2 linked regions of the Macaca mulatta genome follow. The main gene of each other region encodes a partner of the protein of the gene in region 2 in a complex. Links are inferred from orthologs where the notes say so. Each region holds a gene or a part of one and is shown on either strand. Other genes may lie near its edges.

Region 1 (7,671 bases), on a different chromosome or scaffold from region 2:
ATCTTGCCACTGCACACCACCCTGGGCGACAGAGCAAGACCTTGTCTCAAAAATAAAAGTAAAAAAATTGGGGGAAGGACTGCTTGAGGCCAGGAGTTCAAGACCAGCCCAAGCAATATTAATGAGACCCTGTCTAAAAAAGAAAAAAAAAAAATCATATATTGTATGATTCCATCTACACGAAATGTCCAGAACAGGCAGCTGCACAGAGACAGCAAGCAGACCAGTGGTTGCCAGGGACTGGAGTGGGGAATGAGTAGTGTGTGCTAATGAATACTGTGTTTCTTTGAGGGTTGACGAAAACGTTCCAAAATTAGATAGTAGTGATGACTGTACAACTCTGTGGAAATACTAAAAACCACTAAACTATACAATTTTTTTTCCTTTTTTTGGAAACAGAGTCTTACTCTGTCACCGAGACTGGAGTGCAGTGGCGTGATCTGTGCTTACTGCAACCTCCACCTCCTGGGTTCAAGCAATTCTTCTGCCTCAGCCTCCCAAGTAGCTGGGATTACAGGTGTCCGCCACCACACCCGGCTAACTTTTTTATTTTCAGTGGAAACGGGATTTTGCCATGTTGGCCAGGCTGGTCTTGAACTCCTGACCTCAGGTGATCTGCCTGCCTCGGCCTCCCAAAGTGTTGGGATTACAGGCAAGAGCCACCGCGCCCAGCCTAAACTGTGAAATTTTTAAAAAGAATTTCATGATATGTGAATTGTATCTCAATAAAGCTGTTACTAAAAAAAGAAAAAGTCCAGCTGAGTTTGCCTGGAGTTTTTTACAAAACAAAAGGCTAAATGTGAAATATCTCAGATGTAATAGATAGCTTCTGAAACACTAAATAAAATATGATTCCCAAACTGTGTTGAGATGTGAGATATTCCATGAAAAACAAAAGATAACAGCAATTGTATTTGAAAATTTGCATATAAATACTATAAAGTAGATTCTTTCACATGTGACAACTTGTATAAAACTGTGCCACCCAGAGAATGAGAACTGCATGGAGGCAGGGGCCTGTTTTGTTCACCCCTGCATCCTCAGCACCTAAGAGAGCACCTGGCACACAGTAGATGCTCAACCATATTTACCAAACGAGAACACAGTGTTCTAGCTGCAGACTGAGGCAGAGGCAGAGGCAGCATTGACCAACTAACCATTACCTTAATGCAGATTAAAATGTATAAACTTCAGGCTGGGTGCAGTGGCTCACACCTGTAATCCCAGCACTTTGGGAGACCGAGACGGGCGGATCACAAGGTCAGGAGATTGAGACCATCCTGGCTAACATGGTGAAACTAAAAATACAAAAAATTAGCCAGGCGTGGTGGTGGGCGCCTGTAGTCCCAGCTACTTGGGAGGCTGAGGCAGGAGAATGGCGTGAGCCCAGGAGGCGGAGCTTGCAGTGAGCCAAGATCGCACCACTGCACTCCAGCCTGGGTAACAGAGTGAGACTCTGTCTCAAAAAAAAAAAAAAAAAAAAAAAAAAAGTATAAACTTCAGCAAATATTTATAACATTTGGTTCTTTTGTTTCTAATAAAGTAAAATCGTTTCTCTCTTCCTCTTTCAAGCAAAATGGAGAAAAAGCATACTACTCGAAGTCTTTTTGCCATTTATTTTAACCTAAACCTCACTTTATCTTATGAGCTCCTGATGGCGCTCTGAGAATAATAACCTTTAGAAAGGCAATAATTCATAATTTCTGGAAACAAAATGAAAAATAAGTAGAGATGTTTATTTTTGAAATTCTAGAAAAATTTAATAGAGAAAACAGATGAACTGCTCATAGAAGTGAAAACTTTAAACTCAAAGAATAAACTAAACTAAAACTGCCTAAAATAGAAATTTTATATAACACTGGAGTGAATGTAGGTCATCGGCTGAGCAGCTTTTCTCCCTTGGGACTAAGCTGACCTGAACCAAGTTACAACAAACACAGTATTAACTACTTGCATCATTTTTCACTTCCAAGCATTTTACTTATAAAAGTGCAAGCATTTCATAGAGTTGTTCAGAACAACATTACCAACTAAAAATAGCAATTGGTGTTTTAAGAAGCTCTCTTATGGTAAAGAGGTATTTGCTGGCTTTTACTAATCGGGTATTTTTCATGCAATAAAATTGTGGGAACTGATTTTTGAAGGCTTTGAAAATTCTGAACATTGCCCTGTATACCTATCTTCAAGATAAGGTGATTAGAAAAACAAAGGAAATGTAAAACTTTTGTTTAAAACATGTTTAGCTTTGGTGCTGTAAAATTCCCTTTGAAATCCACACATATCTGTAGGAAGTAGGTTTAAAAAGATGGAGCGAAAATGCATTCATTTACATACCGAAGCACTGAGGCAAGGAAAGGAGAAATCAACTCCCTGTAAGTATGTGCATCAGAAAATGAGGGCCCCCTGCAGAGTAAACACAACTACAACTGCTGTCTCAGGATACAGACCAGAGCCAGAAAATGCAAAGGATTTCTGATCTAAGACACAGAGTAGCTTAGAAAAATAAAGAAAATAAATTTAGAAAATTCAAACATTAAGAACTAAAAGTGATACATATATTATTGCCTAAAGTCCTACATTAAAAAAACAGTAAGAATTTGCTTGCCTCTTTTCTCAAAAATTCTTAAAAGTTCAGAGAAATATCTCCTCTATTTAAATCTAAGAGTTAAAGAAATCTGCCAACTCTTTTTCATTCCCTGCTTGAGACAGGGTCTTACTCTCCAGGCGGAAGTGGTTGTGTGATCACAGCTCACTGCCATCTCAAACGCCTGGGCTCAAGTGATCCTTCCGTCTCAGCCTCCCAAACAGCCAGGACTACTGGCACACATCATCACTGACACCTGGCTAATTTTTTTTAAAAAAATTTGTGGAGACGGGGTCTTGCTATGTTGCCCAGGGTGGTCTCAAACTCCTAGGCTTAAGTAATCCTCCCACCTCAGCCTCCCAAAGTGCTAAGACTACAGGCGTGAGCCACCACATCCAGCCTAGCAACTCTTATATCAAGGTAGAAGGCCAACTAAGCAACCAGCCAATCTCTAGGTTAGATAAAATACCTCTCCTAGCTTGCATTTTAGTATAAATTTTCTAAGTTCCTGTCCTGCCAATACCCACCTCAGGGTTCTTGAGGGTCATCTCAATGCTGGCTGCAGGCCCAAATCCCGTGAGGGATTTAATGTGGATCTGTGTAGGCAATGGTCGCCTGCACTGGCAGTACACTGAAAATGCCATGGACTTCAAGTATTGAATGTAGAAAACTTGCTCATCCTTCATTGTCTGCAGCATGTACTGGCAAGGCACAATCTAAAGACACAAATACAAAAAACAAAACAAAACCAAAAACCTAGAAACTGAGATCTAACACGCTAACAAGCAAGCTGAAAAAGGAAACGGCATGAATTCCTTACCACAATGGGGAGAGGTAACCTCAGCCCTAAAATATATCAGTGTCACACATAATATAATTAAATCCTAATTCCTTCCACTGACATAAAATTCTCTATCACCAGCAATTTCGAAAGATGTACGATTATATGGGTCAAGTTATACTGTCACTTAGAAACTACCATGTTCCCATTTTAGAGGTAAGATCTCAATTTATTACAGGTATTACCATGGCCCCCAAATTGTATTATATTTCTCCTTTTTATAATTACACAGTGTGTGTGGCATTTTTTGGAATTATTACCTAATCATTTAGGATACAGACTTCAAAACAATGGAAAACTATCAGCAATGTACTCTGATAACTTTAATTTCAATCTTTTAATTTTACAAGATAGCTTCAGTTAAAGTGACATTAAAATGAAACCCAAACATCCGAAGCACTGTTTTTCATCTATATAGAATTTTTAAAAAAATCATTACACTATAAAGCTGTCAAAGGGGCAGTGAAAATAAGCATACTCATTCACTGATGAAAGGAAAGTAAGTGTAATCTCTTTTGGAATGGAATTTGGCAATATGTGTCGCATCTACATCTAAGAACCCATGTTAAAAAATGACCTGAAATGTGAAAAATAAGATTATACATAAATGTGTACTATGGCTTTATTTATAACAGTAAAGAAGTGGAGATATAGGAATGGCTATGGAAAATATGCAGTCATTAAAAATGCTTGTAAGAATTTAAATAACATGAAAATGTATTCATGAATAACATTAGATAGAAACTAAGTTATATTAAAAGTATGATCTCAACTGTGTAAACAAAAATAGAAAAACAAGCTAGAAAAACACCAAAATGGTAATGGTGGTTGAATGTAAAAGTCAGAATTATGATTATTTTTTCTTTTATACTTTCGGGTACAGGTTGAATATCCCTAATCAAAAAATCTGAAATCCAAAATGCGCCAAAACTCACAATTTTTGGAATGTCAATAAAACGCCACAAGTGGAAAATTCCGTATCAGACCTCATGTGATGTGCTGCAGTCAAATTTAATCAAAACTTTGTATAAAGCACAAAATTATTAAAAAAATTGTATAAAATTACCTTCAGGTTAAGTGTATAAGGTGTATATAAAACACAAATTTTATGTTTAGACTTGGGTCCACTGCCAAGGTCTCCCATTACATATATGCAAACATTCCAAAATCAGAAATCCAAAACACTCTGGTCCCTAGTATTTTGGTTAGAGGATAATTAACCTGTACTTCTATTTTTTAAGAAAAACCATAAGCCTGTATTTATTTTCACAACAACAAAAACATCAACATCAAAAGTAAATAATAAACTTGCAAACAGTAACCTGGAGAATGAAAGAACTTCTCATATGCTCAGGTAAATTATCCAGCATTTCTGTGTAGCAGCGCATCAAGCTCAACAGCCAAAAGTTCCCAGAAGTGGAGTCCTCCTCCGCAGCATAAGTGAATGGGTCTACCATGTAAATGACAACGGCTGGAGGGTGGGCATGGCTGTCTGCAGAGTCAGGCTCCGTGGGAATTCCTATTCTCTCCCTTTCTGTAACACTGGCAAGAGAGTCACTTGTGAGACACACAAAATAAACATAAATTACATGAGTATGAAAAACAAAAGTGCTCAATACTAGAGCACACAGGCTCCCTAAAGAATATTTACAGATTAAATGTAAGAGTAACATGTATCACCTTACCAAAATACAGGCAAACCAAGCCAGAGAGCATTGAAAGCAGATGGAAAATGGCAATGTACTCCTCTAAAATGGGAGATATCTTTTTCAAACTCCCCTTTCTTTTCTGTGGTTATGTTGTACAAAGTTGTTATTAAGTTGATTGTAAGTTTAATAATAAGGTTTATAAGTCATAATAATTTATAAGAAGTCTCAAAATTTTAACACTGCAGCTTTAGATTGACCATTACCCCTTTCTTTTGAGAAGAAGAGAAATAGAGCACTTCATAGGATTCAGAGAATCATGAGGTCAAGGGAGAAAAGGTGCGGAAGAAGAGAGAAAGGGTCTGAGCTGAGGCCACTCGTCTCAATTAGTGAGTAACATACCTCTCTTGTCCATCCTGTGAGGGCTGAGAAGAGCTCTGCCCAGGGTCAGTGTCTCCGCCACAGCCTATGCTCCCTTGAGTTCTATCCGTAGAAATGCCCCCAGTGCTGGGGTTCTGCCCTCCAACACTACCACTGAATCCTGAAGAAGAGGTAGTGCTTATCTGGCTAATACCAGGAGCAGAGGCAGACGATGAGACCGGTGGCACAGAGGAACCAGATGCGGAACTACTTGCTGCAGGATTTGTAGTACTACTATTCGAGGTGGGGTTAAATGCACTGCCAGCTGGGGGAGCTGCTGATCCATTTGGAGCTAAGGGCCCAGCATTCCCAGGCGTAGCCTGTCCCTGTGCCGCTGCTGGTGGGGTCTGGTATTTAGGTGGTATCAACAGGCTGCTATCAAGCTGCAGAGTGGCTAAATAAGGTGCTGAAAGAATACATGCAAAGAGGTGACTTTAGTGATATTCTGCAGTGTCGACTAAACCAGAAATCTAGAATGGTCACTTGTAAAAAAATTATGCTTTCAAGCTGCAATACTCTGATTACAATACACAAAATACTATCTCCACACTCATGCTTATGTATTCTGCAAACATGGAAATGCACACGGAGCAACTTATAAATTCTACTGAAGAGGCCTGTTTGAAAAGAGAAAATCAATCACTTGTGATAGTCTCCTTTCAGACTGATTCCATATGCCTGCCCTGAAAAATGAGAAGCTATATATTCCACAGTCATCACGGGACATTATACTCCTAGGTTTACAAGCTTCTAAGATTCTCTTCAGAATATGGGTTAAAACTAAGCAGCTAACACCAAGTCATGCTGCTAAGTTTTCAAAATGTGGAGTAAATTAGACATGATTAGGCAACTTTGAATAGTTTTTAAAAAATATATGTACATATAGAAATTAGCATTAAACTGCTCAGAACACCAAAATGGACCTTAACAAATACAGCATTACTTGAGGCAAAAGAAATACAATGTTGCATCTATAAAAGAAAGGATGGGAGGGATTTGCTATTTTACTTCTCCAGTTCTACTTTGCCAAATAGATTCCCATTTACCTAGGTGATGGCGGCAAACTTGCGCATAAAGTTTGAGTCTGGAATGATTGTCATTCTCCTCGCCGCTCCAAGGCTGGTTAAACCACTCACTCACAAGCTCATCTGTCAGCTTCTGTGCCACGGTTTTTCCCACGCGCATGATCCCGTCACGTAGCACTTTGCAGATGGGCTTGTGCTGCCCAAGCCTACACATCTGATACCATAGACGAGATCATTAGTTATAACAGGGGCCATTCCTTCATTCGGTACCAATGGTTAGCAAGGCAGATTCTTTAACATACAGATGGAAGCATTTTCCTTTTTCTTTTAGGGTTACTGCATGCAATCAAAGCAACATTATAAGTTGGTCCTTTCAGGTAATTGTAATGTACCCTTAAATTGCTATCTGTCTCTCTAAAACTTGGACTAGGCTCTCTAAAAAAAAAAACAAAGTTTCTTCACTCAAGCCAATTCCTCCTGTACAAGAGGAGGCTGCTGAACACTACCTGACTGCTAACGGACAAAGAATTAGCAGATTCCTGCCATAGTAGGCTGACTGAGACATATGTCCACTAAAATCTCCTAAGTAATCCCTACTCATAATGTTTTCCCATAAGATAACATTAAAATTTTATGGGCCATCTGTTCTGTTACAGACATTTGGAGATCACCAATAGCAGGGGCCACTGAAGCAGTGAGTACGCTGATCACTTTTTTTTTTTTTTTAAAGTGAATAGGACAAGGAGATTCTGCTATTAATCTCCATGACGCTAAATGGGAGCTTATGGCAGGGAATATAATAAACCTGCAAAAAGTAAACTACCTGTTCACCAGCAGGAGAGCCCACATTATTATCCCTTATTGGAGTAGATGAAGTAAAGGCTTACTAAGCCCTGACAAAATCCTCTAGTATATACTCTTCTTAAGGAGGTATGAATCACTGCTGAATGAGCAACCCTAGTGAAGTCATTACGAAAAATTTAAAGAGTGTCTGCACCCTCTTAAAAAGATCTGGCAGTGGTTTTTATATTTTGTAACTTAAGCTGAAGGTTCCATTCAAGGGAATGGCTGGGCTTTAAAACTGCTTACACAAATGTTCAGTTAATTATGATTTAATAGTGTTATATATCCCCTGACCAGACACTGTTCCGAAAT
Region 2 (7,671 bases):
GGAAGAACTACTGCTCTCTGAAGTAGCCCCGCCATGCCAAGTTAACTGTTCCACATCCTGGGATCCCGGCTCCAGCACTCCCTCTGGGACACGCTCCCCTACCACGCTCGACTGTCTGGAGCCTTGGCTGGAATCAGCTGGGCCATCCCGGGCGGCAGAGCTCTGGGAGTCAGCAGGCTCAGGGCCCCTCACCTGGTGCAGGCCTTGCACTCCTCCGTGGGGCAGGCGCCAAGGTGCAGCCTCCGCAGGTGGTCGATCTTGGGCTGGCCTGGGGCCCTGGCGGGAGAGGGGAGAGCGTGAGGAAGGGCTGGGCACCATGAGGCCAGGTTCCGGAAGGGGCATCTGTCCACAGGCGTGGGTGGAGGGGGTGGCCGGCTTCACACCATCTGCCAGGTGGGCCCAGGTGTCTGTGAACAGTTAGGTGGGAGGTGCGGGACCACGTGAGACAAGCCCAGTAAAGGGTGTGGGGCCCCCCACACACGGAGGAGGGTCGGTCTCCCAGATGCCTGGGAAGCCCAAGGCTCAGGGGCCCAGTAAAGGGGACGGGGCCCACACAGGGCACCTGGGAAGCGGAGAAGGTGCTTGCGACCCTCCCATTTGAGACTTTACAGAAGGGGGTATGTGAGGCTTCCACACCACCTCAGCCCAGACCCCCAGCCTGGGGGCACCGGGACCTCTGTACAACAACAGATTCTGGTGGCAAAAGCTGCCCTTGGTGGTGGGTGGGGGGCCTGGGTCTGGGTAGGGGTGAGCTGGCTTATTCTGCTCTCATTAAATATTTGAAATTTTCCCAGTTTACAAGCCTCTGACGTAACCGTCCTCTTTCCATCAAGTCTTTTCCTGAAACCCAAACCCTCGTGCGTGACTCACTAGCAGGACCCTCCCACAGTGAGCACGAGGAAGAGAATGCTGGAGGTCCCGGAGCCAGGCCAGGCCCAGAGCCAGGCTACTGGGGGTTCACTTCATTTTCTTCTTTTTGCTCATCTGTGTTTTCTAAAATTCCAGCCATGAGCCATCAGCGGCTCAGGGGGTTTGGGTGTGCTCCTGGTCAAACGCATGTTGGATATGGGCTGGGGGTCTGACGGGCCTGGGTTCAAATCTGGACTTGACCACTTCCTGACCACGTGACCCCAGACGAGTGGGGTGACAAGGTCCCACCCTTTCCAGGCTGGGTTTCCTCACAGTGAAGTGGGTGACAAGGTCCCACCCCACAGGGCTGCTGGGTGGCCGGGGTGAGCTCAGCAGGCTTGGGTTGTCCAAACCCTGCATGTTCCAGAGGAAGGCCAGCCCCGAGCCCTGCAGCTGACCTCGTAACCCCGGGAGAGCCTTCTGGTGAGGTGTTTGTGCTCAGCGGTGCCCTGGGCCATGCTATGGCGTCTCTCTCCATCAATAAGGGGATTGACGGTGAGGCCTCACATCCAGAGAGACCAGAGACTAAGGGCAGAAACTAAGGGCACCCTGCACAGCAAGGCTAGCACACAATCAGTAAAAACCAAGGCAAGGCCGGCGCGGTGGCTCACGCCTGTAACCCCAGCACTTTGGCAGGGCGAGACGGGTAGATCACCTGAGGTCAGGAGTTCAAGACCAGCGTGGCCAACATGGCGAAACCACGTCTCTACCAAAAATACAAAAAATACCTGGGTGTGGTGGTGACGCCTGTAATCCCAGCTACTCAGGAGGCTGAGGCAGGAGAATCATTTGAACCTGGGAAGCAGAGGTTGCAGTGAGCCAAGATGGCACCACTGCACTCCAGCCTGGGCGACAGAGCAAGACCGTCGGGGCGGGGGCAGTGGGGAAAGCGAGAGGGTGAATGGAAGGACTGGGTGCCCGCATGGGTGGTGGTTCATGGAAGAGCAGGGACGCCACTAGGGTATGGCGTTAAGGGCACCTGGAAGGAAGCAGCAGTTATGGCCGTGTGGATTCAGGGGCCCTGGGGCAGGACATAGAGGGAGGGAGCTGTGTGGATTCAGGGGTCTTGGGGCAGGACATGGAGGGAGAGAGCCGTGTGGATTCGGGGGGGCCCTGGGGCAGGACATGGAGGGAGGGAGCTGTGTGGATTCAGGGGTCTTGGGGCAGTACAGGGAGGGAGGGAGCCGTGTAGATTCAGGGGGGCCCTGGGGCAGGACATGGAGGGAGGGAGCTGTGTGGATTGGGGGGCTCTGGGGCAGGACACGGAGGGAGGGAGCTGTGTGGATTCGGGGGGCCTTGGGGCAGGGCATGGAGGGAGGTGTGTTTGGGGACCAATGCAGGGACACACGCACCTTGCAAGGCCATCGAGCTGCAGGGTGGCAGCACTGCCAGGCAGTGTGGGCGCCCGGCCGAACTGCAGACGTAGGGGCTGTTTGGGCTGCAGGCGGCTGACCAGGCCGTCGCTGGCGGGCAGCCAGTCCAGGCTGGGGATAAGCAGCTGGCTGGGCAGCAGGCAGCACTCGTCCACCAGCGCCTCGTCTGGCTCGCTCGCTGGGCCCTCATCGCGACCTGCAGAGAGGGGTGGCCAAGGTCTCGGCAACTCTGCCTGGGGCAACCCTGCCCGGGGCACCACCCGGCCACCCGGGACGCACGGGGAGCCCCTCCAGTTCAGGAGCACCAGGTCGGGGCCCCGGCTCTGTCTGCCTGGCTGGGTGACCCCAGGGTTCTCTCACCCTCTCTGGCCTCAATAATGAGACTCCCTCATTCACTTAAAAAGTATGTAGGAAGCTGGCCGGGCGCGGTGACTCACGCCTATAATCCCAGCACTTTGGGAGGCCAAGGCGGGTGGATCACGAGGTCAGGAGATGGAGATCATCCTGGCAAACACTGTGAAACCCCGTCTCTACTAAAAATACAGAAAGTTAGCCAGGCGCAGTGGCGGGCGCCTGTAGTTCCAGCTACTCCGGAGGCTGAGGCAGGAGAATGGCGTGAACCTGGAAGGTGGAGCTTGCAGTGAGCCGAGATTGCGCCACTGCGCTCCAGCCCGGGTAACGGAGCAAGACTCCATCTCAAAAAAAGAAAAAAAAAGTATGTGGGAAGCACTGTGCCTTTCCCAGACACTGAGACATAAGAACGATCCAACCCACCCTCCTCACATACACACAACCTGACAAGGAGAGACAGCAAATAGGAGCCTGGGAGTGGCTGCCATCCCAATGGCACCCACACCGAGCATGGACCTGTGCTGCGAACCGAGGAAATGGCAGAGATCAAGGCAGAGCCATTGCCACCTGCAGGGGCTTATGTTCTGGCGGGGGGCTCGGACACGGTGCATTCTGGTAGGAGAGGGGAGCAGAGGGCTTATGTTCTGGCGGGGGGCTCGGACACGGTATGTTCTGGTAGGGAGAGGAGAGCAGAGGGCTTATGTTCTGGCAGGGGGCTCGGACGCGGTGTGTTCTGGTAGGGAGAGGGGAGCAGAGGGCAGGGGGCCTCACAGCAGATCCAGAGCTTGGTGAGCAAGCGGAAGAGCAGCGACATGCTGTCCTGGGTGTCCGAGGTGGCTGTGTACACAGGCAGGCAGCTGGGCTTCAGCAGGCCCCAGATGCGGATGACCACCATCAGCTCCCGAAGCATGCCCAGCGAGGTGCCATCCCGCAGGAAGCTGTGGCCCGGCCTCAGCAGCGAGCCCTGCCGGAAAGAGGCATCGGAGTAGCTGGGCGGCGGGGGGGCAGATGGTGATGGGATGAGGTCTCTCGGGTCCGGTGGAACCCCGACCTGGAGGCAATGGACAGGGTCTGGGACGTTTGTGGTGGTCAGGACTGGGGAGCTCCTGGCACGGAGTGGGTGGATGCCGGGGACACTGCTCAGCGCCCTGCAGGGCCCAGGACAGCCCCGTCTGGAGAGCTGTCCCATCCCTGAGCCGCCACAGGACTAAGAAGCGGCTCTGGCTGAGGCCAACGTCCCCACCGGCACATGGAGGAGCAGCCGCCCCCCACAGCTGAGTGGCCCTGGTGGCTGTACTGGGAGCCGAGAGAACCTGGCAGCCTCAAGTCCCACAAGGAGCAGACAGGGACTTCAAACCGTGCCTGATGGGCGCGGGTGGAGAGACAGAGGCCCCAGGGCAGAATGAAACTTGGGGAGAGAAGTCACGGTTTGGGCAGGACAGAGTGTGTGGGCGGGGGGAGGCTGGAGCCCTGCTCGGGGCACACAGGCCGCATACTTGAAGGTGGGGGTGTGGATGGAGACTTGATGATTTCAAAGCTGCCAACTCCCCCCAACCGCCTCCTGCACCGGGAGCTGGGGAGAGTAAAGGGTGGGACCGAGAAGGGGCAGGGTCTGGGAGGCGGGGCTTCGAGAATGGGCAGAAAGTGTGTGGTCAAGGAAGGGTTTTTTGCAGAAGCTTCATGGAGGTGAGGGCTCTGAGGTGGGGCAGCGCTTCAGGACGGGCGGGATAGGCAGTGGAGCTTTGAGAATAGACAGTGTCAGGAGGTGGGGCTCCAAGTAGGGGCGGGGCTGAAGTGGTTTTCAGGGGCAGGGCCAAGGAGGCAGGGCCCAGATGAGGGGCGGGGCCAGGGAGTCAGGGCTCAGATGAGAGGCGGGGCCAGGGAGGCAGGGCCCTGATGTGGGGCGGGGCCAGGGAGTCAGGGCCCAGATGAGGGGCGGGGCCAGGAGTCAGGGCCCAGATGAGGGGCGGGGCCAGGGAGGCAGGTCCCTGATGAGGGGCGGGGCCAGGGAGTCAGGGCCCAGATGAGGGGCGGGGCCAGGAGTCAGGGCCCAGATGAGGGGCGGGGCCAGGAGTCAGGGCCCCGATGAGGGGCGGGGCCTCGGGGAGGGCAGCCTCAGGGGCGAGGGCAGCCTCAGGGGCGAGCGCAGCGCACCTGGTTGGGCAGGCTGGCCAGCAGGTAGAGCACGAAGTCGCCCACCCACTGCAAGAGCTGCTGCAGCGCCTGCAGCGTGTTCATGTCCAGGACAAACTCCTCCGTCTTGAGGTTGATCATGACCTTGTCAATGTCTGCAAGGAGACACGGGTCGGGTCAGCTCGGGCTTCTTGTACACGGTGACCTAACTGCACCCCTCGGTCCTTCGACCTGCACCGAGCGCCCAGCCGCTGCCAGGACACAAGGGGACCCACGGCGGGAAGGAGAAGGGGGCGATGGCGTTGCCAGGGAGGAACCGGGAGCCCACTGCCCGCCCACCTGGGGGCCGCTTCTCTCGGCCTGCAGGCCTTGGCGCGGGCAGGTCCCCATGCCAGGGCCACCACTGCTCAGGCCCGGCCCGCTGGTGCACATCTGCCCCTGCTCCGAGGTGAACTCTGTGAACACAGCAGTGTGTCCACACTGCAGCTGCAGCCACGCAGGACCGGCACCTGGCGCCGGTTACACACCCAACAGATGCCTGTTGGATGGTGACTAGGGTGGCCCCACAGAAATAATGACTGTGCACACAGCTCCTAGATACCACGAGCGCCACACGCCCACAGTGAGCTGGGTACTCCAGACAAACAATAACCCTAATTTTTAAATTTTTTGAGACTGAGTCTCACGCCGCCCAGGCTGGAGTACAATGGCACGATCTCAGCTCACTGCAAGCTCTGCCTCCCGGGTTCAAGCAATTCTCCTGCCTCAGCCTCCAGAGTAGCTGGGACTACAGGCACCTTCCAACGTGCCCTGCTCATTTTTGTATTTTTACTAGAGATGGGGTTTCACTGTGTTAGCCAGGATGGTCTCGATCTGACCTCTGACCTCATGATCCGCTCACCTCGGCCTCCCAAAGTGCTGGGATTACAGGCCTGAGCCACTGCGCCCGGCAACCCTAATTTTTAAGAGACAACCTGCCAAGCACAGCGGCTCACGCCTATAATCCCAGCGCTTTAGGAGGCCGAGGCGAGTGGGACACCACGTGCTGGGTGAGCTGCTTAGCCTCTCTGCCTCAGTCCCCTTATAGCAAAATGGGAGAAGGAGCAGACCTGCCACACAGGACCCGGGTGCCGCGTCTCGGCCTGGGAGTAGCATCTCAGCCCCCAGGTGGAAGGATCGCTTGAGCTCAGGAGGTCAAGACCAGTCTGGGCATCACAGTGAGACCTTGTCTCTGCGAATAATTAAAAACTGCGTGTGTGGCGCACGCTTGTAATCCCAGCTACTCCAGAGGCTGAGACGAGAAGACTGCTTGAGCCTGGAAGGCAGAGGCTGCACTGAGCTGTAACTGTGCCACCGTGCTGCAACCTGGATGACACAGTGAGACCCTGTCTCTAAAAGGCTGGGTGTGGTGTAATCCCAGCCTTTAGGCTGTATCCCAGGACTTTAGGAGGCTGAGGCAGGTGGGTCATTTGAGGTCAGGAGTTCGAGACCAGCCTGGCCAACATGGTGAAACCCCATCTCTACTAAAAATACAAAAATCAGCCGGGCGTGGTGGTGCAGGCCTGTAATCCCAGCTACTTGGGAGGCTGAGGCAGGAGAATCACTTGAACCAGGGAGGCGGAGGCTGAGGCTGCAATGAGCTGAGTGTGACACTGCACTCCAGCTAAGACCCTATCTCAAGAGTAAAAACAATAAATAAATAAAAAAAAAAAAAATGAAAAGAGCCTCAAGGCCCTGGGCGCGGGACAGGACCCACCGACGTCAGTGATCTTGGCGCAGATCTCGGTCAGCCGGTCGCCGGGGCTCTTGTCGGGCGTGTTGAGGAAGTGGGGGCGCAGCAGCGACTTCAGGGTGGAGCTGATGGCGATGAGGAAGAGCTTGGTGTGGTAGTCGCACACGCGGGTCACCGTGCAGGGCGACAGCTTGCAGAGCGAGGCCTTCATGGCCAGGATCCGGGTGGAGAGAACCTGGGGGCAGGAAGCCGGGTCACCCCAAAGGGCTGTGGCAGAGGCGCCCGCCAAGGCTCCAGTGGGGAGAAGAGCAGTCCGACCCTGAGCCCAGGTGTTCTGTGAGCTGGGAAAGCTGCTTCACCTCTGCACCTCAGCAACCTCGTGGCTAAACGGGCGCAGAGGACCGGCCACACAGGACCAGGTGCCGGATCTCAGCTGGGAGCAGCTCTGCCCCGGCGGGGGCGTCCTGGTGATGTCTGCAGACATTTCTAGTTCTCACCACTGGGGGTGCCCCTGACAACTGGAGGCCAGGGAGGCTGCTCAACAGGATGCCCCCCACCCCAGAGGCTGCTCCAGCCCCCGATGTCCGCGGTGCCTGCAGGGAGACCCTGGTCTAGCAGGACAGAATTAATGAGTTGAAGCATTTTGGGAGGCTGAGGTTGGAGGATTCCTGGAGGCTGGGAGTTGCAGAGCCTGTGTAACACAGAAGACCTCATCTCTACAAAAAATAGAAATAACTAAAAAACAAAAATGAAACACTTGGCACGCAGTGAGGGCCCAAGGAGGGAGAGAGTGAGGCCTCGCCATCACAAGCCCCGTCACTGGCTACGGATCCCAGCCATGCCGGGGTTTAGCATCACAGCCCCCTGCCTGGGTCTCCCGTGTCTCTCAGCAGGCTGTGCTGTGAGTGGGATATTTTTCCCATTTTATCTTCGTATTGGTTCTTGGCGGCATAGAGGAACACGACTAAGGTTTAGAGGGCTGGTCCCATGTGCAGCTGCCAGATGAGCTCGTTAGATCTGAGGTCTTTCGCAGACACTCTGAGATTGCAGGCGCATGACGACATCACTGCAAGAGACCTTTCTGATGGGCGGGCCTCTCTGTCCCCTCCTCTCCTTCCAACGGCCAGGCCTCCGTGTCCGCCCTCTCCTCTCCTTCCAACGGCCAGGCCTCCG

The links.
Region 1: MED16 (region 2) and MED13L share a complex: the UniProt entries of both Homo sapiens proteins name them as parts of the mediator complex. The link is inferred for Macaca mulatta from reciprocal best matches to the Homo sapiens genes MED16 and MED13L.

Annotation. Positions count from the first base shown.
Region 1 is NC_133416.1:123,229,528-123,237,198, forward strand, and holds part of MED13L (mediator of RNA polymerase II transcription subunit 13-like), read right to left. Parts: intron 6,731-7,671; coding exon 6,538-6,730; intron 5,898-6,537; coding exon 5,474-5,897; intron 4,968-5,473; coding exon 4,748-4,967; intron 3,301-4,747; coding exon 3,112-3,300; intron 1-3,111. UniProt on the Homo sapiens protein: Component of the Mediator complex, a coactivator involved in the regulated transcription of nearly all RNA polymerase II-dependent genes.
Region 2 is NC_133424.1:1,526,139-1,533,809, forward strand, and holds part of MED16 (mediator of RNA polymerase II transcription subunit 16), read right to left. Parts: intron 6,734-7,671; coding exon 6,523-6,733; intron 4,922-6,522; coding exon 4,788-4,921; intron 3,685-4,787; coding exon 3,405-3,684; intron 2,479-3,404; coding exon 2,262-2,478; intron 277-2,261; coding exon 193-276; intron 1-192. UniProt on the Homo sapiens protein: Component of the Mediator complex, a coactivator involved in the regulated transcription of nearly all RNA polymerase II-dependent genes.